3 linked regions of the Arabidopsis thaliana genome follow. The protein of the gene in region 2 purifies or fractionates together with the protein of the main gene of each other region. This does not show direct contact. Each region holds a gene or a part of one and is shown on either strand. Other genes may lie near its edges.

What was found.
Region 1: the proteins of AT3G23620 (region 2) and AT5G28060 fractionate together in Arabidopsis thaliana (co-fractionation; one large-scale study listed by BioGRID). This does not show direct contact.
Region 3: the proteins of AT3G23620 (region 2) and AT1G80750 fractionate together in Arabidopsis thaliana (co-fractionation; one large-scale study listed by BioGRID). This does not show direct contact.

What each region holds. Positions count from the first base shown.
Region 1 is NC_003076.8:10,067,928-10,074,304, reverse strand, and holds AT5G28060 (Ribosomal protein S24e family protein), read left to right. Parts: upstream 1-3,405; 5' UTR 3,406-3,512; coding exon 3,513-3,584; intron 3,585-3,827; coding exon 3,828-3,869; intron 3,870-3,978; coding exon 3,979-4,149; intron 4,150-4,300; coding exon 4,301-4,387; intron 4,388-4,484; coding exon 4,485-4,514; 3' UTR 4,515-4,865; downstream 4,866-6,377.
Region 2 is NC_003074.8:8,476,191-8,482,567, forward strand, and holds AT3G23620 (Ribosomal RNA processing Brix domain protein), read left to right. Parts: upstream 1-3,834; 5' UTR 3,835-3,956; coding exon 3,957-4,025; intron 4,026-4,213; coding exon 4,214-4,417; intron 4,418-4,723; coding exon 4,724-4,969; intron 4,970-5,082; coding exon 5,083-5,325; intron 5,326-5,407; coding exon 5,408-5,473; intron 5,474-5,566; coding exon 5,567-5,683; 3' UTR 5,684-6,032; downstream 6,033-6,377. Other genes in the region: AT3G23605 (Ubiquitin-like superfamily protein), read left to right, coding at 485-943; DSPTP1 (dual specificity protein phosphatase 1), read left to right, coding at 2,090-2,091, 2,327-2,492, 2,593-2,728, 2,832-2,952, 3,064-3,209, 3,346-3,461.
Region 3 is NC_003070.9:30,346,203-30,352,579, forward strand, and holds AT1G80750 (Ribosomal protein L30/L7 family protein), read left to right. Parts: upstream 1-2,467; 5' UTR 2,468-2,679; intron 2,680-2,829; 5' UTR 2,830-2,849; coding exon 2,850-3,035; intron 3,036-3,386; coding exon 3,387-3,484; intron 3,485-3,581; coding exon 3,582-3,719; intron 3,720-3,823; coding exon 3,824-3,926; intron 3,927-4,013; coding exon 4,014-4,232; 3' UTR 4,233-4,362; downstream 4,363-6,377. Other genes in the region: CMT1 (chromomethylase 1), read left to right, coding at 1-9, 109-178, 269-372, 476-629; AT1G80745 (Transcription factor TFIIIC, tau55-related protein), read left to right, coding at 1,512-1,595, 1,674-1,724, 1,821-1,872, 1,998-2,119; NIP6;1 (NOD26-like intrinsic protein 6;1), read right to left, coding at 4,438-4,630, 4,710-4,771, 4,849-5,043, 5,250-5,474, 5,571-5,813.

The sequences.
Region 1 (6,377 bases), on a different chromosome or scaffold from region 2:
ATTTATAATTAAATATTATATAATATGATCTACAATATTGATCCGCTTTCACCATTCAAATCTTTATTTGGACCGCTAATTTCGTTTGATCCACAGTTATACTGCTATATCCGCTTGATCTGCTTAATCCGCTTTTGTTCAGCTTGATCCGCTTGATCCGCTCCGCCCGATAAGCTTTCTCCATTCGGAGCCAAAAGGGTAACAAACAAAAGTGATACAAAATAAAAGAGCAACAAACATAAGTGATAGTGATGTCAAACCAAACGAGTGCAAATGGGTCTCTGTGTCGTTTCTTCTTTGCACAAGTGATATCGTCGACCACCTGCAGACACAAGATAAGAAACCTACAGTAAGAGCAAATAAACACAAGAAACCAACATTAAGAACAAACATAAAACATGGACGTAAGATGATACAAGTTCTATGGTAGGTGAAAAACGTTCATACTAAATTGGTGGAATGGTTTGATTATCTTGTTGACTAGTTAGGAGTTTCAAAAAGCTTGAAAGATGATTAGAGAAAGGGTTAAAGGCCATCTAAGCCCATGTTATTAGGTTTTGTACTAGGAGTTCTCATATATATATGTAATGTATGTTATGGATTAATGTAACCAAGGCTACCTCTTTGAGCAATCACCCTCAAACATTTATACGAATCACAATCGAATTTTTTTTTGTTTTTGTAGACAATCTTAAAGCTTCTCTCTCTCTTTAGATTCTTTGCACAATAAAGCTCTTCATGAGCTATTCAATTTCTCTTCTAATAAGCTCAATGAGCATCAATCTATTCTTGTCATATTTAGCAGATAGCAAGTAGGATCTAAGTAGTTGTGGGAAGAGAATTCTTCTTTTACATGGGACAGCTTAGGGGAGTTAAACGAGGTAAAGAAAACACGGACTCTTCGTGAGACAAATAGGTCAAAAGAACCTTAAAAGTTCTCACACTAATGTCTGATTTTGTGGTGAAGAGATGCTGCTATCTACATCCAAGTGATCTTGATTTTGTATCTTGCTACATATGTTGTCTCACCCAAGTCAAGCCATCCGAATTAGCCAGAAACTTTTATTGCTACCTCTGAAGATACAAAATCTAGATCCTTTCAAGACATGAAGTGAATCTTGTGAAGTGCATGTTTCTTGGTCTCATATTGCTGCTAATAATCCTTCATATTTGCTGGGTTCAAAATTGAGACTGATTCGAGAAGATAAGAGCACACATAGATTATGTGCCTTCATTAGATCATGCACTGAAAATCAAGCTCTTCGATCATCTAAGACAAACTTAACAACGTCGTTTTCACACCCGCTGCTAAGTTTGCGGGGAAGTATTAGAGCAAACATAGAAGCCCAAGAAATGATTATTAGAGAAGTCCATCTATGCCCATGTTATTAGGTTTTGTACTAAGAGTTCTCATATATATATATACTAGATAAGGCCCGCCTAAATAGGCGGGTAAAAGATATAAATTTATTCAAATATTTATCGATAATATTTAAAATTTGAATAGTAAATAGTGATCCACACACTTTTTCTAATATTTAATTTAGTAATTTTTGAATTAAATAAAATTTCAATCATACACATTCAATTTTACTATACATTTTAACTATCTCTTTCATCATAATAAACTGCTTTTTAATTTTATACACTCCAACTTATTGATGATATTTGAATTTTAAATTGTAACTCATATTTTTCAGTATTTAATTTAGTATTTCCTTAAACTAAATTTCAATCTTACAAATTCGATTTTACAATACAATTTAAATATCTTTTTTATCATAATACAATACAATTTAGTTCGATTGTATACAATTCAAATACAATCCAATTTTTCAATACAAATAAAATTTAATTCTATACACTTCATCTTATTGTTAGTTTTCCTTTTTAATTAAAAAAATTATAAGTTAAATTTTTTAGATATAGAACTATAAATTAGTATATGTAAATATGTTTTTTTTTTTTTAAAGAAACTTTTTTTTAACATATGTCAACATCTCAATGATAGACCTGACACGTGTCATGATCTCGTGAGTTAGTAACTCCGTACTTTATATAATAAGATATATATATATATATATATATATCTATGATGTTGTCATGTAACCAAGGCTGCCTCTCTGAGCAGTCACCCTCAAACATTTATATGAATCACAATCAAAATCATTTTTGTTCTTCTAGACAATCTTAAAGCTTCTCTCTCTCTCTTTAGATTCTTTGCACAATAAAGCTTTTCATGAGCTATTCAATTTCTCTTCTAATAAGCTCAATGAGTATCAATCTATTCTTGTCTTAGAAATGTCAACAATTACCATCAATTAACCCTAATTTATCTTCTAAAATTCCCTATTCAGGAAACCCTAATTTTGATAAAATCTAACAATAACCCTAATTAATCCCGATATACACAATTAAATTGTTAGATCTATATATTCAGAATTTGATTGGACCATGGCTTGACACAAATCTCCAATTTATGCACGTTTTCTCTCCGATTTGGTTCACCAAACTCGTCCATGTTGACCACCGTCGGTTGAGATGATGAGGACAGTGGATAAGAGACGAATTTCGTTGATATTCTCTTCCGATTTGATGAACATGAACGCGTGAGGCTGATGATCATCAGAGACCGTTCAATCGCCATCGCACCAAAGAAGAGAATAGAGATATCCAGAAATGAGAAAAACCACAGGCAACTGAAAAAAAAATATTGTTTTGTCAAAACACGCGTCCAATGAGAAATGGACACGTCATCGAACCTTAACACCAAAAAAAACTCTAAGCTTAGGTCGTTCGTAAGTTTATATCACATGTTTCATTTAAATTTTGTCTTATTTTGCTAAGGATTCTTGATAAGAAATTTTCAATCCCCAATGGACCTGCTCTAACATGACAATTTGTGTAGAATCGTTATGACGTGGTAATATATGCTAGGATTGAAGGATGACATATGATTGTTTTGGTTGAAATGAAAAGAATCGAGAGAAGATGTGATTGCAATTTGTCTTATGCCATGTAGCTTCCTCTTAAATATTTTTCATTTAATTGACATAAACACATGGAAAAACTTTAAAAACTTCTTGCAGCTAATCAATTTATAATATATATGTTTATTTGAATTAAATTAATTAAAAGAAAATTTCTAGAAAATAAAAATCAAAAATAAGTAAACAAAAGATTAGAAATAATTATACAGTATACAATGATATTGTCGTTCGTTAATCAAATAAAATATGAAAGTATGTTTTTATAACATGAATGATCAAAATAGACAATTGTTTTGTCTTTGTATATCAAACCCGAAACAAACTAATCTATTCTCTGGGCATGGATATTGTAAGGCCCAATTAAATTCGGCCCATCAAACGAAACCAACCCTAATAATCTGAAAGAGAGCTATATATAAATAATCTAGGGTTTAGTGTGCTCCTCCTTCCAAAGCCGCTGCGAAACTCGTCGATTTTCAAAACCGGAGCTCAGAGACTGATCTCGGAAAGTAAATCGCAGCCATGGCGGAAAAAGCTGTCACTATCAGGACCAGAAACTTCATGACCAACAGGCTTCTCGCCAGAAAGCAATTCGTGAGTTCCCATCTCTATGTTCCATTTTGCAATCTCACAGTGTTACGTCTTCGCTGTATCGAATGATAAAAACTATAGTTTAGGTAGAAACAATCTTATAAGAACAGATTCATTGATCATTTTGATGTATTGCTAGAGGAAATTTTGAATTTTGCAACTTTTAGGTTTGATGTTTAGTATTTGGATTCATTTCGATGTTGCATTTGGAGTATTAATCATCAGATTTTGAATCAATTAATGTAGGTTATTGATGTTCTTCATCCTGGAAGAGCCAATGTTTCAAAGGTATGTTCTTTACGTACATTGGCTTGTGTTGATTACAATCCAAGCTTGTGCAGTTGTGTATTGTTTCTTAGTGATGTTGTGTACTGGGTGGGGCTTTACTTGTTTGAAGGCTGAGCTTAAGGAGAAATTGGCGAGGATGTATGAGGTTAAGGACCCAAATGCTATCTTCTGTTTCAAGTTCAGAACTCACTTTGGAGGTGGTAAATCTTCTGGATATGGTTTGATCTATGATACTGTCGAGAACGCTAAGAAGTTTGAGCCTAAGTACAGACTTATCAGGGTAATTTCTCTTTACTTGTTTGATAGTTAAGTAAAACTTTTGGTTCTAGTTTTTAGTCTAGCTTACTCTTGGTGCTTTGATTTTCACTGCTTTGCGATGAAACAATGGTGTTGCAATCTCATACTGAAATGATTGTTGATGTGATTGACAGAATGGACTTGACACCAAGATTGAGAAATCAAGGAAACAGATCAAGGAGAGGAAGAACAGGGCGAAGAAGATCCGTGGTGTTAAGAAGGTAAGAGAGACCAACACTAACCAGAAATCTACATTTGCTATTGTTATGTTTGTGCCTGTTTTGTCTTAACGATATTTGCATTGTTTTGTGAGTGTAGACCAAGGCTGGTGATACCAAGAAGAAGTAAGACGTTTGAAGAGGACAAAAGCAGCAATATGGTTTTTGTTCTGCATCACTCCTTCTTTGAAGCCATGTTTGCTATTAGACATCTTCTAATTATTTCTCGATTTTGTGCTTCTTTTTGTCACACTTGCTCTATTTTGGTTTGGATCTTGTTTTAGAGAAACATGTGGTTAAGATTTTGTTTGAATACATTGATTTTAAACTTCATCCTCTTGCGTTTCGGAGATTGAGACTATTGTTCAACTTTTCAATTTTTGCTACCACATACCACAAGATTAAAAGTTGGATTCTACTTGAAATTCATTAGTTGTCATGAGAATAAAGAAAAAAAGACTACGTTCTGGTTTCACAGGGGAATTCTATTTTTGACTGCAATATTCTAAAGAACTCAACTTTCTGCATTTTCAAATGTATATCAATGAACCATTCAAAGGTTTATCATTTTCCACCAACGCAACATCGATGACGGATACAACAATCTAAATAAGCAAAATAGATGTTTCCTTGTCTCATGTTAAACCGAAAAACCATTGGAAAAATTTAGGGATTTTACAAGAAGGAAGTAAGGAACCCATTTGGGAGACTTAACATGTAAAATACTAGATATTGATTTATAAGAACTAGATATTGATTTACAAATACTAGATAGTGAATATGTTTATTGAAAAGTTATATAAACTTTTTTATAAGAATTAGATATTTCTACCAAAATAATATTAAAAGAATAGAAAAAGTATAAGAGAGGAGAAAAACGATGAGAAGTTCATTATGTCATGTGTTATATATCAATTAGTTTATTTTTTCATGAATTAAAAATTAAATCAAAAACTAAATTACATTAAAATATTATTTTGGAGAGACTTTCACAGTCTCTAATCAATGGAGATGGTCTAAGTTAAGAACTCAAACCTCTCCATTTATAATAATAAGAAAAAACTTTTTTATCACCTATTTAAGCAAAACTGAACATAAACCGATCAAAAAGGTCATCGTTTAACCCTTAGGCTGCAAATGGTTGACCTAAATGAAGAAGTTTAAAGAGTTGAATGAGCATTCATCTTAGTTTTTACCATTTGAGATGAAGGAGTTAAAAAATGATTCAACCCATTCAACTTTAAAAACTGAAAAATTGAACAAATTCTGCAGCAAAAATGTTCAACTCATTCAACTACATTTTTGTAGAGGAACATGTTGAATAATATTCAATTCAATTTTTTTCAACTTAATATTTTTCAACTATTCATCTTAAGACAACCATTTGCAGCTTCAGTCTCCAAACACGTGATAAATTTCCGACAAGTCTAAGTATCATCACTCCCTATAACAATCGAACGGTAAAAAAAATATAAAAAAATCATAGCAGAGAAAATCAAACCTCCTCTTTAAATTAGTTTCTCTCTTCTTCTTTCTTCACTCCCCAAAGATCACATATTTTTCTTCACGAGAAATTCTTTTTTTCCTCATTAGAAAAATGGATTCTTTTCCGATAACAAATATCCGGACGCAGATCCTCCGAACGCAAATCCTCTGGACGCAAATCCTCCGACTCCTCCTGGTTCGCATGAAACTGTGAGTAGTTTCCCGATTCTCTTAGGGTTATGGTTTACGCGATGATTCTCTTTCGCGATCTTAGGGTTAGGCGCTTATGAGCAAAACTGAACATAAACCGATCAAAAAGGTCATCGTTTAACCCTTAGGCTGCAAATAGTTGACCTAAATGAAGAAGTTAAAAGAGTTGAATTAGCATTCATCTTATTTTTTACCATTTGAGATGAAAGAGTTGAAAAATGATTCAACCCATTCAACTTTAAAAACTGAAAAGTTGAACAAATTCTGCAGCAAAAATGTTCAACTCATTCAACTACAT
Region 2 (6,377 bases):
AGAAATTGATCCATATATTATTTATATTGTTGCTTAAAAATCGTGCAAAAATGTGGACAGAAAAAAAAAACTTGCCAAAACAAGAAGATATTGCTCAAGAAAGTCACTAGGTTCTTTAGAGAAATCAAATAAAATCTCAATTCATAATCAATGTAGATTTCTCATAATTAAATTTGTATTACAAACTTACAATTATCAAAAACAAAATCTGTAATTACACAAAAAAAAAAAAGGAAAATAGAAACAAAAAAAAATCCGCAGAATATCTCCAAAAATCAATTCTACTAACACAAAAACAATAATACTAATAAATCTATTTTTCTATTTTCAAGGAAAAGGAAACAAACCTTTATAGCTCCTCTCTATCGTCTCGTCTCTATAAATAAACGAGAAGCTCACAAATTCCACAAAAATCCACTCTAACTATGAAACAATTAGGGTTTTGAAATTTACCTAAATCTCTCCGTAATCATCGATCAAAACGATGCTCGAGTGTCAATCAATGATGGAGAAATTATCACCGTTCGTAGACGTCGCCTCTCTGGAAATCGAGTCTCTGCGAAGAATCAAACGCCCGAAACGCTTCTCTGAAGAAGAATCAGAAGAAACCGAGAATACGACGAATTCATCAAACGCGGTATTCGGATTCCCTAACTTACCAGAAGAACCGAATCGCGATATGGATCAAAGCGTTTTGTGCAGAATCTGCGTTCGATTACCAGATGGGAGAAGAATACAGAGAAGTTTCTTAAAGAGTGAATCTGTTCAGCTTCTTTGGTCGTTTTGTTATTCGCAGATTGGTGATGAATCTTCTGAGAGAAAGCGGCGTTTTAAATTGATTCAAGGGTTTCCTGGGGATTATAAGAATCTTTATTTTGGATCTAATACTACTTTTGAACAATCTGGGCTTGCTAATTCCTTGGTTTCTGTTACTTGGCTCTGAAGAATCTTCTTTCGATCTGTAATTAGAAAAATAATTTCTTTCTTCTACCAAGTTTATGTTTACTCAATTTCTCGAATTTGTACTTGGAAATTGCAAATTTCATTTGGTTTTCTTGAATCGTTGTTAGATATTTCCGATCAAATCGTTTTTAGATAACACTGTTTCAAAGTCAATGTCGTCATCATCATACAAGAAGAACGTATAGTTTTTGGTTTATCTTTTTGTTGCTTCTTAAGTCACTCTTTCTCGCATAGTTTTTGAGGTGACGAAGTTACGTATACGGTGACGTAGCAAACCAAGCCCATAAGCCCAAATTCTAAACAAGCCTAAGACAAGTGAGCAAGGAGTGGGTAAACCAAACCATACCAAAATGAAACCGACAAACTCGTCGATATGTGCCAGGACCGGGCTTAGAGGGTGTGCTGAGGGTACATTTGTACATTGTCCATTACTTTTTAGTCAGATTTCTTAAAGCAATTAGGGTCCTATTTCTAAACAAGCCTAAGACAGCATCAAGTGAGCAAGGAAGTACTTCATGTTCATGCACAATTTCTAGGAATGGGAAAGACCGTACCAAAATGGAAACCGAGAAACTCGTCGAGACCGGCTTTGATTAGATAGTCTATCGAAGTAAAATATCGAACTTCGATGGACTATATTGAAGTAGATTTGTGCTCTACTGCCCTCGAAAAAAACATTAAAGTAGATTACTACTACGTCATAATAACAAACAGTCTTTAACAACAACATCATCATCACTCGATACATCTCTGCCTCTGTACAGTTTTGCTGACATATTCACAACACCGTTGCCTCAGTTTCAGCCAAGTACACTACTTCTTACTAATCCAGGGGGCCTAATAGCAGGAAACCAAGCCTACAAAGCACAAATCCCAAACACAAATTTTTGAGTATAATATAAGGACTGAGCTAATAAGTTAAAACATTTCTGATTTTTCTGATAGAAAGGAAATTTTACTATTTGGCCCTCTTTGAACACATCCTTCCCTCTCCTCCTCCTCCTTCCCCCAAAAAACCTGGAGAACCATGCAGTTGCAATTTCCTCTTTAACCCATTTCAAAGATTCGTTTTTTTTTTTTTGTAAATCTCTTTCTCCTTTGGCGAATTCGTATTCCTTCTTTTCCAATGTAAGTTCTTCTTCCTTGATAATCGAATTCTTCTTTTGATCTTAAACCAATCACTACTCCGTCGTTGTAATCGTAATTCTCGATTCACCGTTGTTCGGTTATAAGATCATTCATCAGAATCGGATTCCATTATTTCGGTGACCTGGATTTTGATTTTGATTTTGATTCTTGCTGCTATGATCACGATCTTGATATGTAAACTCTCTTCTTCTTTTTTCTGATTCGATGAAATCAGGAGTTCTAGAGACAGAGGATCACCTTCTTCTTCTTCGTCATCTTCTTCGTTACCAGGAATAGAAAAGTATAATGAAAAGGTGAAGAATCAGATACAAGCTCTTGTTCGTGTTATTAAAGTTGCTCGTACCTATAGAGACGACAATGTCCCTTCCCTTATTGAACAGGTTACTACTACTACTAATACTCATAGGTTTTTTCTACCAACCAAATGACCAATGATTCATTATCAAAGATCAAACCTTTTGTTGAATTTGACTTTTTCAGGGTCTTTATCTTGGATCTGTTGCAGCAGCTAGTAATAAGAATGTTTTGAAATCTTACAATGTTACACATATTTTGACTGTTGCTAGTTCGTTGAGACCAGCTCATCCTGATGACTTTGTTTACAAGGTTGTTCGAGGTATAAACTTATTAAAGGTTTCACTTTGTTATCTAGTTGAAGAGAGAATATGTTTTTGATTTTGGGATGGAATTGCTTGTTTGATTGTTTTTCTATGTGATAGTCGTGGATAAGGAAGATACAAATCTAGAAATGTACTTCGATGAGTGTGTTGATTTCATTGATGAAGCCAAGAGACAAGGCGGTAGTGTTCTTGTTCATTGCTTTGTTGGCAAATCACGGAGGTCAGTTTTGTTTGCTTCCTTCAATATCTAGCGGTTTTCGCCTTGTTTGCTGGATAGTATTCAAAACTAAGTACATATTTAGCCTGGATGGTTTGTCCCTTTTACTTGCAGTGTCACTATAGTTGTTGCTTACCTCATGAAGAAACACGGTATGACTTTAGCTCAAGCATTGCAACATGTTAAAAGCAAAAGACCCGTGGCAAGTCCTAATGCTGGTTTCATCAGACAATTACAAGACCTCGAGAAGTCTATGCAAGGTATGCCTTACTATAATATCTTGAGGTCTAGACTATTAGGTTGAGATCTCTGTGGTGAATCTAAGTTGGAGATACTTTGTCTGTCTGATTCAGTAGTGAGTGACCAGTTTTTTTCCTTTTGAGGATGAAAAGCAAGTGGTTGTGGAGGAGAAGACAGTTCCATGTAAATATCTCTTACATGCATCTTCCTTCTTCTCTATAAAACAGGGAAGCAAGTTACGATTGCACAATGTCAGGCGTGAAGATCATTGATCGTACCATTGGGAGAAACTTGTAAATCTCACACGAAGCATCAATCAAAATGTTTTGTTGTTTCTTCTCCTTAACAACTCGAATAATAACATGGAAACGAATTTGGAATATGTTCATGTTCTCTATTCGTTTTGTATAGTTTCATCATCATGGATATAAAAGTGAACATAAATAAAAATTTGTAAATTTTTTGTACCGCAATGAAATGTCTTTTTTGTGTGTAAAAGTTCATGGGCTGTCATTGTTTAATTTGAGCCCGTATAGTTTAAACAGTTCATGGACCTTGTGAAACATTGGGTTTTATAGTCAATAAAAAACTGTGGGGTGATTTAGGACAGACTTATAAGGTTAGGGGTCATATTAGAATTCTCTTAAAGTTGCTTCCAATTGTGAGGAGGCACTAAAACCCTAGACTCCATATCAATCAATCGAAAAACCTTTCTCTCTTCTTTCGGAGCCGTCGCTTGTGAAACTTTCCGGCGATTTAACAGAGTCATGATGGAAATACGAACTCCGAAGACTGGCAAAGCCAAGCGTGTTCTCGAAAGCCGAGCTCCTAAGTTGGTAAAGTTCTCTTCTTTTTCTCCTTCGTCCTTCTTAAAACCGAGAAGTGAATCATGTTGAGAGCTGTCTTCAATGTTGTTTTGACATCTATGAGACTCATGGGTTTTCTATTTGTCGATAAATTTATCAAAGAATCGATTGAAAGTTGCAAACTTTGTATCTGAATTGGTTGTTTTTGGAATTTGTAGGTTGAAACTGGGAAGAAGACGTTGATACTTCATGGAACAAAGACGAGTGCTACACTTAGCTCTGTAATGACGGAACTCTACCGTTTGAAGAAGGGAGGTGCCATCAGATATTCAAGGAGGAATGAGAATATTAGGCCTTTCGAGAGTGGAGGTGAAACTTCATTAGAGTTCTTCTCTCAGAAAACAGATTGTAGCATTTTTGTGGTAAGTTCATAAGCTTTGGCAGCTGTTGCATCTTGGTTTTATGGTGTTGCAACTTTGATTCTCCTCTTAACTTAGCTATGAACTGCTAGATAGAACAAAATGTTATTAAGATGATCTATCCTGTGATCTAGATTCATTCTAAGGCATCTCTGCTTCTGTCTTGTTAGTCTATGTGTATTTATTTATGGTGGAAATTGGTATGATTGGCTGATGTTATCACAGGCCTTAAGAAGTCATTTGGAAAGGTGTATTGGCAAATTAACTTTGATGCGAGTTCTAACATTGGTGATTGTTTTTATATTGCAGTATGGTTCTCACACGAAGAAACGACCTGACAATCTTGTACTTGGGAGAATGTATGATCACCAAGTCTATGATCTTATAGAAGTTGGGATTGAGAACTTTAAATCCTTGCGGGCGTTTTCGTATGACAAGAAATTCGCACCTCATGAAGGAACAAAGCCTTTCATTTGCTTTATTGGTGAAGGTTTTGAGAATGTATCAGAGCTTAAGCATCTCAAAGAAGTCCTCACTGATCTTTTTCGTGGCGAGGTGAAGTGTTTGATTCTTATGACCTACTTTTGCAGCTAATTCCATAACCAGTTTCAATTTTATTCTGATTCTATATGGATTTGGCTTATAACAGAATTTGTATATGTCTGCAGGTTGTGGATAATCTAAATCTTACTGGTTTAGACCGCGCTTACGTATGTTCAGCTATATCCCCAACAAAGGTTTTCCTTACTCATTGCGCATTGAAGCTTAAAAAGTCAGGATCCATTGTTCCGAGAATGGAGCTTGTTGAAGTCGGTCCATCCATGGACTTGGTTATCAGGCGTAATCGTCTTCCTAACGATAGCTTAATGAAAGAAGCAATGAGAACATCCAAGGATAAGCCTAAGAAGAAGGTACTAAACAACATAAAAGTCTAATATTTCTCTTAAAATCGAAAGAGACAGATGACTAATCAATCAATCTCTTCTTCTACAGGAGAAAAACGTTGATCAAGATGCAGTACTAGGGAAGACTGGGAAGATTTATATGCCTGATCAGAAGGTAAGAAAGAAAGCGATAAACGCCAATATCCGAATCTGGAGATTATTATTTTTATTATCATCCCAAACTGATATGTTTTCGATCTTTGTGCAGCTGAAAGAAATGAAACTGTTCGATAAATCTAAGGGATCGAAGAGAGAGCGGAAAGACGCTAAGCTTAAGCATAAGGAAGAGACTGTTGCCAAAAAGATGAAGGTGTCTTCTGAGTGACTCAACAGACCACTCTTGGCTCTGCATCAACAGCTTTCAATATGTGGAAGATGAAATGATTTTGTAGTGTAATGAGCTTGACTTTTATTTTTCCATTAGAATCTATAACTGAATGTTTTCTATACGCTAATATTTTATTAAGGTGATTTTGTTTTGTTAAAACTCTGCAGCAACAGAAACTGGATATGATAAAAACACATTTTTGTCTATCTCTGTTTCCTACTGCAGTACATGCGTAAGACAGCAACTTTTTTCCCGTGTTGAATGAGACCACAATTTTTGCCTGTATCACTGTCTTACCAACAACTTTTTTACCTCTTTTAACTACCATCTCTTAGTGATATCTTACTTATGAAAATGAAGCTGACCATGATGATTATTTCGTGTATTTTTTTACCTACCAACTTTTAAATGATAATGACTGATACATGTTGAGTTTACAAACCTAATTATTAAGCTTTTATACAGTTAGCTGTCTTAATCTTTCAACACTAGGCTTATACCTTATCTATAATTGAAACCTACCCCTATGGACTCTTCTTCATCATTATTCTTTATGGTTTTTATTTACTATATGTTCCAAACCAAACCATAGGAAACTAATGATTAAAATAGTATATCTTGCATCTATCACCGAATGTTAATTTGTATGCATGACTAGAATCAATTAAGGAAATGAGAAGTTCGTCTTGTG
Region 3 (6,377 bases), on a different chromosome or scaffold from region 2:
ATCAAAAAAGTGAGTTTCTCCAACTAATATGCTTCTTGTGGATCCTCTTTCCATAACGTAAGAATGTTAAATTCATTAAAAGTAACACATCTGTTATCTGAATTTCAGGCCGTTTGGTAGACTTTGGGGTGATGAAATCGTTAACACTGTTGTGACAAGGGCTGAACCTCACAACCAGGTAAGCCCTTTTGCTTTCATTTCCCATGTGTCTGGGTACGTTCCACTTAGAATTCTCTAGTGGCTGGTTTATTAAAACTGGTTGATGCAGTGTGTAATCCATCCAATGCAAAACCGTGTGTTGTCTGTTCGTGAGAATGCGAGATTACAGGGGTTCCCTGATTGTTACAAGCTCTGTGGAACAATTAAGGAAAAGTAAGTCCTTGGTTCTTGCTGCTTTTCTATCTATGTATATGATTGTTTTTAAACTGGAGATCCTAATGTATGTAAAAACTGGGTTTGAATCTAAATTTTGTAGGTACATCCAGGTTGGGAATGCTGTGGCAGTTCCTGTAGGGGTTGCATTAGGATATGCCTTTGGTATGGCGAGTCAAGGACTGACGGATGATGAACCAGTAATCAAGCTGCCATTCAAGTATCCCGAATGCATGCAGGCAAAGGATCAAATCTGATTGACAGTCTCCATCAAGTCGTCATGATGAAACTATCTTTAGGAATCATACTTCATTTTCTAGACTTTCTTTTAATTTTTTGGGTTAGCAAGAGCTATATGCTCAAACAATGGCGGCTTAAACTGTCTAGCTCTTTCTTGTTGGTTTATCTTTGACTTTATAATCATTTGGAACCATTTTATTTCTTATGATTTTTAATCTCAAGATTTCAAATTCTATTGCGTAGACTTCAATCCTACGTGATGCCATCCAACAAGAATTAAGACCAAGCAAAAGACAGACAAAACCTGTTATTGAGCATCCGAGGTGCTAGGTACGTCCGTGATCTCTCGACGAACATTGGTTCGATTTTGCGTAATTCAGTTGCCACCGACCGACCGAAACTCTGGTCAATGATCACCACTTACCAGCTTTTATTAGTGTTATTCATTCATTCGCAAAAGCTAAGTAAATTCGAAGGCAGTTAGGCCCACAAGCCCATATAATGGTGAAAGATTTGGTTCACCCAAATAATGTCCCCACTCCTTCGGTTGGGCTTTTACGTTATAATATTCGGCCCAAATTTGATATCTCATAACAGAGCAAATTTTTCACATAGAAGAAGCAGAGAAACCAATTGATCTACTTTTTTTTTTTTTTTGTTTCTTCCTCTTCATCAGGCTTGTTCTTCGATTCCCTCACTTAAAGAAGGGTTTCGAATTTGCTCGAAAGATTGAAAGGAAAAAAAGAAAGAGGTGAACCATTCTCAACATAAATTTGTTGTTTAGGAGATGTAAGAATGATAATTTCTTGGATCTAATCGCGTTCAGAAAGTGAGAAAGTTTTAGGATTCATAAATATCTTTGTGTTCTTCTCCACCCTAATAAACACATTGATACAGAGATGGAGGATGAACATGTTATGATTGATCTTGATGACGTTTCAAGGCACATTGACATTCCAGCAGATGCTCCTTATACTTTATCAGTTAGTTCAATCCAATTCTTTCATTTCACTTTTTGCATTCTCTTGTTTTATAAGTTTGGTTTTGTTTGGTTCTCATAGGGTTTGGATACTTTGAATCCGGTGTTGACCATAGATGGCAAAATGAAGCTGGTAATTCTCTTACTTGCAACTAGTACAATTTTCCAAGTTCAGTTACTCTTTTTGCTTAAACCATTCTTAATCGTGTTAGATTTGATGATCTCTCAGGTAGGAGAATATATAGCAACGATTGGTACATGCCTTGCTTTCTCTGACAAAGGTTAGTTTCACTTTTCCTCTTTATTATCAAACATGGAAACACATGTTATTGTTTCAAGTAATTATTCTGTCCCTTCAAGATGCTGATTTGGGGTTGCGGTTTCTTCATTTGTCTGTTTGCACAAGGTGATAACCAGACGCCACAGAAGAAGACAGTTGAACCTGTTGCCAAACTCCACAAGATTCTCAAGTTTAGGTTAGCACCATTAGACAACGAAGATGGAGTAACAAAAACAACCAATTTGTAAAAGTTTTTCTCTTGTTCAAGTCATTGGAAACCTGACTTTTCTTCAAAGATCATATTAAAAAAAAGAACTATAACAATAACCGACAGATTATATATGTAGCTAAGGCACATGCAGCATCTTCCTTTGTTGGCCTCTTGAAAGTAGCAATCAAACTAAGACCAAACCAAAAGGTAACTAAACGATTCACAACTTCAACGTACGTTTTCATGATTTGTCCTTCTGATGATGTCAATAAAATAAAAACTGAATTGAATCAACCAGTGATGGAGAAATTATGCATCCCATGTAATTAAAAGAAACAAAATCACACAAGATATTATAAAATAAAACTAGGTATATTCAAAGGCAGTAAGGCCTTACATAAGCCCATAAATATTGGGCTTTTTTAGCCCAATAGTATTATGAGTCTGGCCCGGAGCGTAATTAGGTCTGGTGGCAAAGTTGTTAATAACACAAAAGAGATTTTAGTTAATAAACCCTAGGCTTCTCAAATCGGCCATTGCTACCAACTTCGACTTGGAATTCTTTCAGCCGCCGTCCCAATTGCTTTGCCGCCACCGGTAAATTTGTTCCCCCTTTTCCGTTCTTCTTATCTTGTTCATTCTGTTGGTGTCCCTATAGCCTCACTTTCTTATAGGGTTGAGTTCAGTCTCTGTTTATAAACTTTTTTCGCAAAAAAATTCAATCTGACAATCTGTTTTGTGTTGTAGAAGCAAAGAGTAGAGAGATAATGGCTGAGGAAGAAGCTAAGGGTTTGGATTACATACCGGAGATAGTACTGAAGAAGAGGAAGAACAGAGATGAGCTTGCCTTTATCAGGAAGAAGCAACTTGAGTTGGGTAATTCCGGCAAGAAGAAGAAGAAAGTCTCTGATATCAAACGTCCTGAAGATTTTGTTCATGAGTTCAGGGCTAAGGTACACTTCTTTTTTTCCAGATTCTCTGAAAAACTTTTGCTTTGTCTTTTTCCATTCGTTTTACTGCCTCAAGTTCTGATTTTTGCTTCTTGACTTTTGTCTACACCTTAGAAGAACTTGTTTTTGCTTATTCTTTGAGTTAAATTAAAGCTATACATCAACCTTTATGATTAGGTTTTGTCACTTATCTCTTAGACTGTAACTTTTCTACAGATAATTTTGTGTTTCTCCTTTGAGATTTCTCCCTAGTTTTGCAAGGTTGTGCTTAGGACTTGTTGTTTCTTCTGTCAATCCTGCATTGTTCTCTGTAATTTAACTGTTCCCTTTTTGCTAATTTTATCCCTACTTAAGGAAGTAGATATGATCCGGATGAAGCAAAGAGTAAAGAGGCCAAAGTCATCTCCTCCACCAGTTAAATCTGACCTGGTTTTCATCATACGCATTCAAGGGTATTTGATATTCTCCAATTAGCTTTGTTTTCCCCCTGGAGTTTTAATCTTTATCTCTGCCTGTTTCTTATCCTTGCCTTTTCTTTCTGGTGACCAGCAAGAATGATATGCACCCAAAGACCAAGAGGATTCTTAACAATTTGCAACTAAAGAGCGTCTTTACTGGTGTATTTGCTAAAGCAACTGACAGTTTGTTCCAAAAGCTTCTCAAAGTGCAGCCTTATGTCACTTATGGGTACGTAGAGACAATCAATCCTCTTTCAATATTTCCTTGTTACTCGATTTCCATGCTGTTTCTCTATTCTCGTATGAGCTAACCGATGTTTACGATTCTTGAAGATACCCGAATGATAAGAGTGTTAAGGACCTTATATACAAAAAGGGATGCACAATCATTGAGGGAAATCCTGTTCCTCTTACCGACAACAATATAATCGAACAGGTAAAATTTCCTACTCTTAAAAGTATAGGAGCTTATTCCAGATAATAACCATGCTGTTCTTAATCGTTTCCACTTTTGTTACCTTAGGCTCTAGGAGAACACAAAATCTTGGGCATAGAAGACCTTGTGAATGAGATAGCAAGAGTCGGAGATCATTTCAGAGAAGTTATGAGATTCTTGGGACCCTTGAAACTCAACAAGCCTGTGGCTGATGTTTTGCACCGGAAGAAACAAGTTTTCAGCGAAGGAGGAGATACCGGAAACCGCGAAGATAAGATCAATGATCTCATCAGCAAAATGAATTAGAAGCAGCAATCGTTGTAATCGCTAGCTACTTACTATATTTTCCTTAAAAGATCTGTACGAGGCTAAAAACCAACCATTTTGATGAAACACTTGCAATTTTGGTTAAAGGGCATTCCAAATTTTATAAGCATCGTCGACTTCAGATATTATATTATACACATATATTTATGTGATGTAAACAGAGTAATATAGAAGCGAGTGTTTTTCATCTTCTGAAGCTCCTCCTCTCTTTGGGTGCTTCATCTTCCTCTGGCAACTTGACAATTGTGTATGTACCTGCTCCGATTAACGCTCCAAGAATGGGGGCAGTGAGGTAAACCCAAATAGCTCTGTAATTGTTTGCTGCAATGGCTGGACCCAGTGTTCTTACAGGGTTCATCGAAGCAGAAGTTGCAGGTCTGTTGGACACAACATCATGATCAGTAACATGTATTATTATGTACAAGAACTGAATTCAAGAAATGATGGTTTATTTACCCAGCTATAAGTATGTTAAGCATGACCGTTGCTCCTACGGCAATTCCCGCCAACTCTCCCACCTGTAATCTTGTGATTAGTTTTCATTGACGTCCAAAATTTCAAGACTCTTCAAAAACGTTTTTTATAAGTAATTTACAGCTCTCGTGTCGGTGGCTACGGCTGTGACAACGAACATGAGGTTGAAGCTGATAATGAATTCCAAGGCGAAAGCTTGGCTGAGACCCACCGTCGGCACCGTCACGCCACCGCTCATCGTTGGTTCAAACACTGCTTTCAGTGCAAACGCCGCACTCACGGAGGCCATCACCTGAGCTCCGATATACACCGGCACCTAACATAAATTTAGACACCAACATTATTATTTTTATAACAATTATATAGAACCCCTTTTATATGATCAGATTTTATATATACTTTTATTACCCATGTTAAAATTCAATTCATAATACAACATGCATGTGCATGTCTATAGATTTCATGTGGTTCTCTCAGTAACATCCAAAAATGTGTTAAAACAAATAAGATTAAACTACTGACGTGTTTCCAAGGGAAGTGTTTGAGAGCAGCAAAGGCAATGGTTACAGCCGGATTGAGATGTGCCCCGGAGATGTGACCGGTCGATAATATAACGATCATAACCGCCAAACCAGCCGAGGCGGCGCAACCAATAAGCGTCTCAGCTCCATCTGTCTTCTGGTTCACGATCGCCGTCGCTGTTCCGGCGAATATCAGGATCAATGTCCCAACAAACTCTGCTCCCAACTTTACAAGCACATATATGTACTGGTTCAATGCTCAGTGAATTGGAAACATGATTTATATGGAGTGTACTTGTAATGAGAATGTGTACATATGTACCTTGCGGTAGAGGGAAACGTTAGGGGGAGGGAGAGAGCAAGTGACCGGAGGGAGTCTTCCATCTTCAAGAGCCCATTCATTGTCAACACTGAAACATTTGCAGCTTTTGAGAAGTGACTTTGGTGTGTATCTACCATTGTGTCCATTCCTCTTCCCTTCGAATCCTCCAAAGAGCGGCGCTCCTGGAGTCCCCGGGGTTGTCGCCGGCGTTGAGGGCGTGGATGGAATTTCCTCATGATCCATGTCGAGGGTAGAGATAGATGAGATCTAATTAATTTGAGGATATATGTTTTTGCTATGATTGTTTTTATGTGATGTAGAACTAAGGGATGCGTAGGGTACGGTATTTATAGAGGAAGGCATGAGAGTTGACTTATGAGTGAAGGACCCAAAATAGATGATTGATATTTGGTTGGAGTGAGGAGTAAGTGGGTTGGTAATCCTTAGTTTTAATGCATGTGTCCTAAGGAAGACTCTTTACATAACATGAAATGTTGCTATCTTTATGAGAATGGGTCGTGTATTGTATCTTTCATATTTCTATTTACATGATACATGTATCGTGTACTAAAGAAGCTTTTGAGATGGAGCAATAATTGTGGATCCTTTTCTCTATCGATCGACATACATTATTTTGCATAATATGTTCTTCTCCATGAGAATGGAACTCTTGCGTTTGTGTGGTTGTAAGTTGTTAGCAAAGAGAATGATGATAAAAGCGATGGTTCTTGACCTTTCCTTGTCACAGAATGTGACTCACAGTCGACTCTCTTTTTGTAAGGAAATAAATGATTTGTTTTAGTGTAT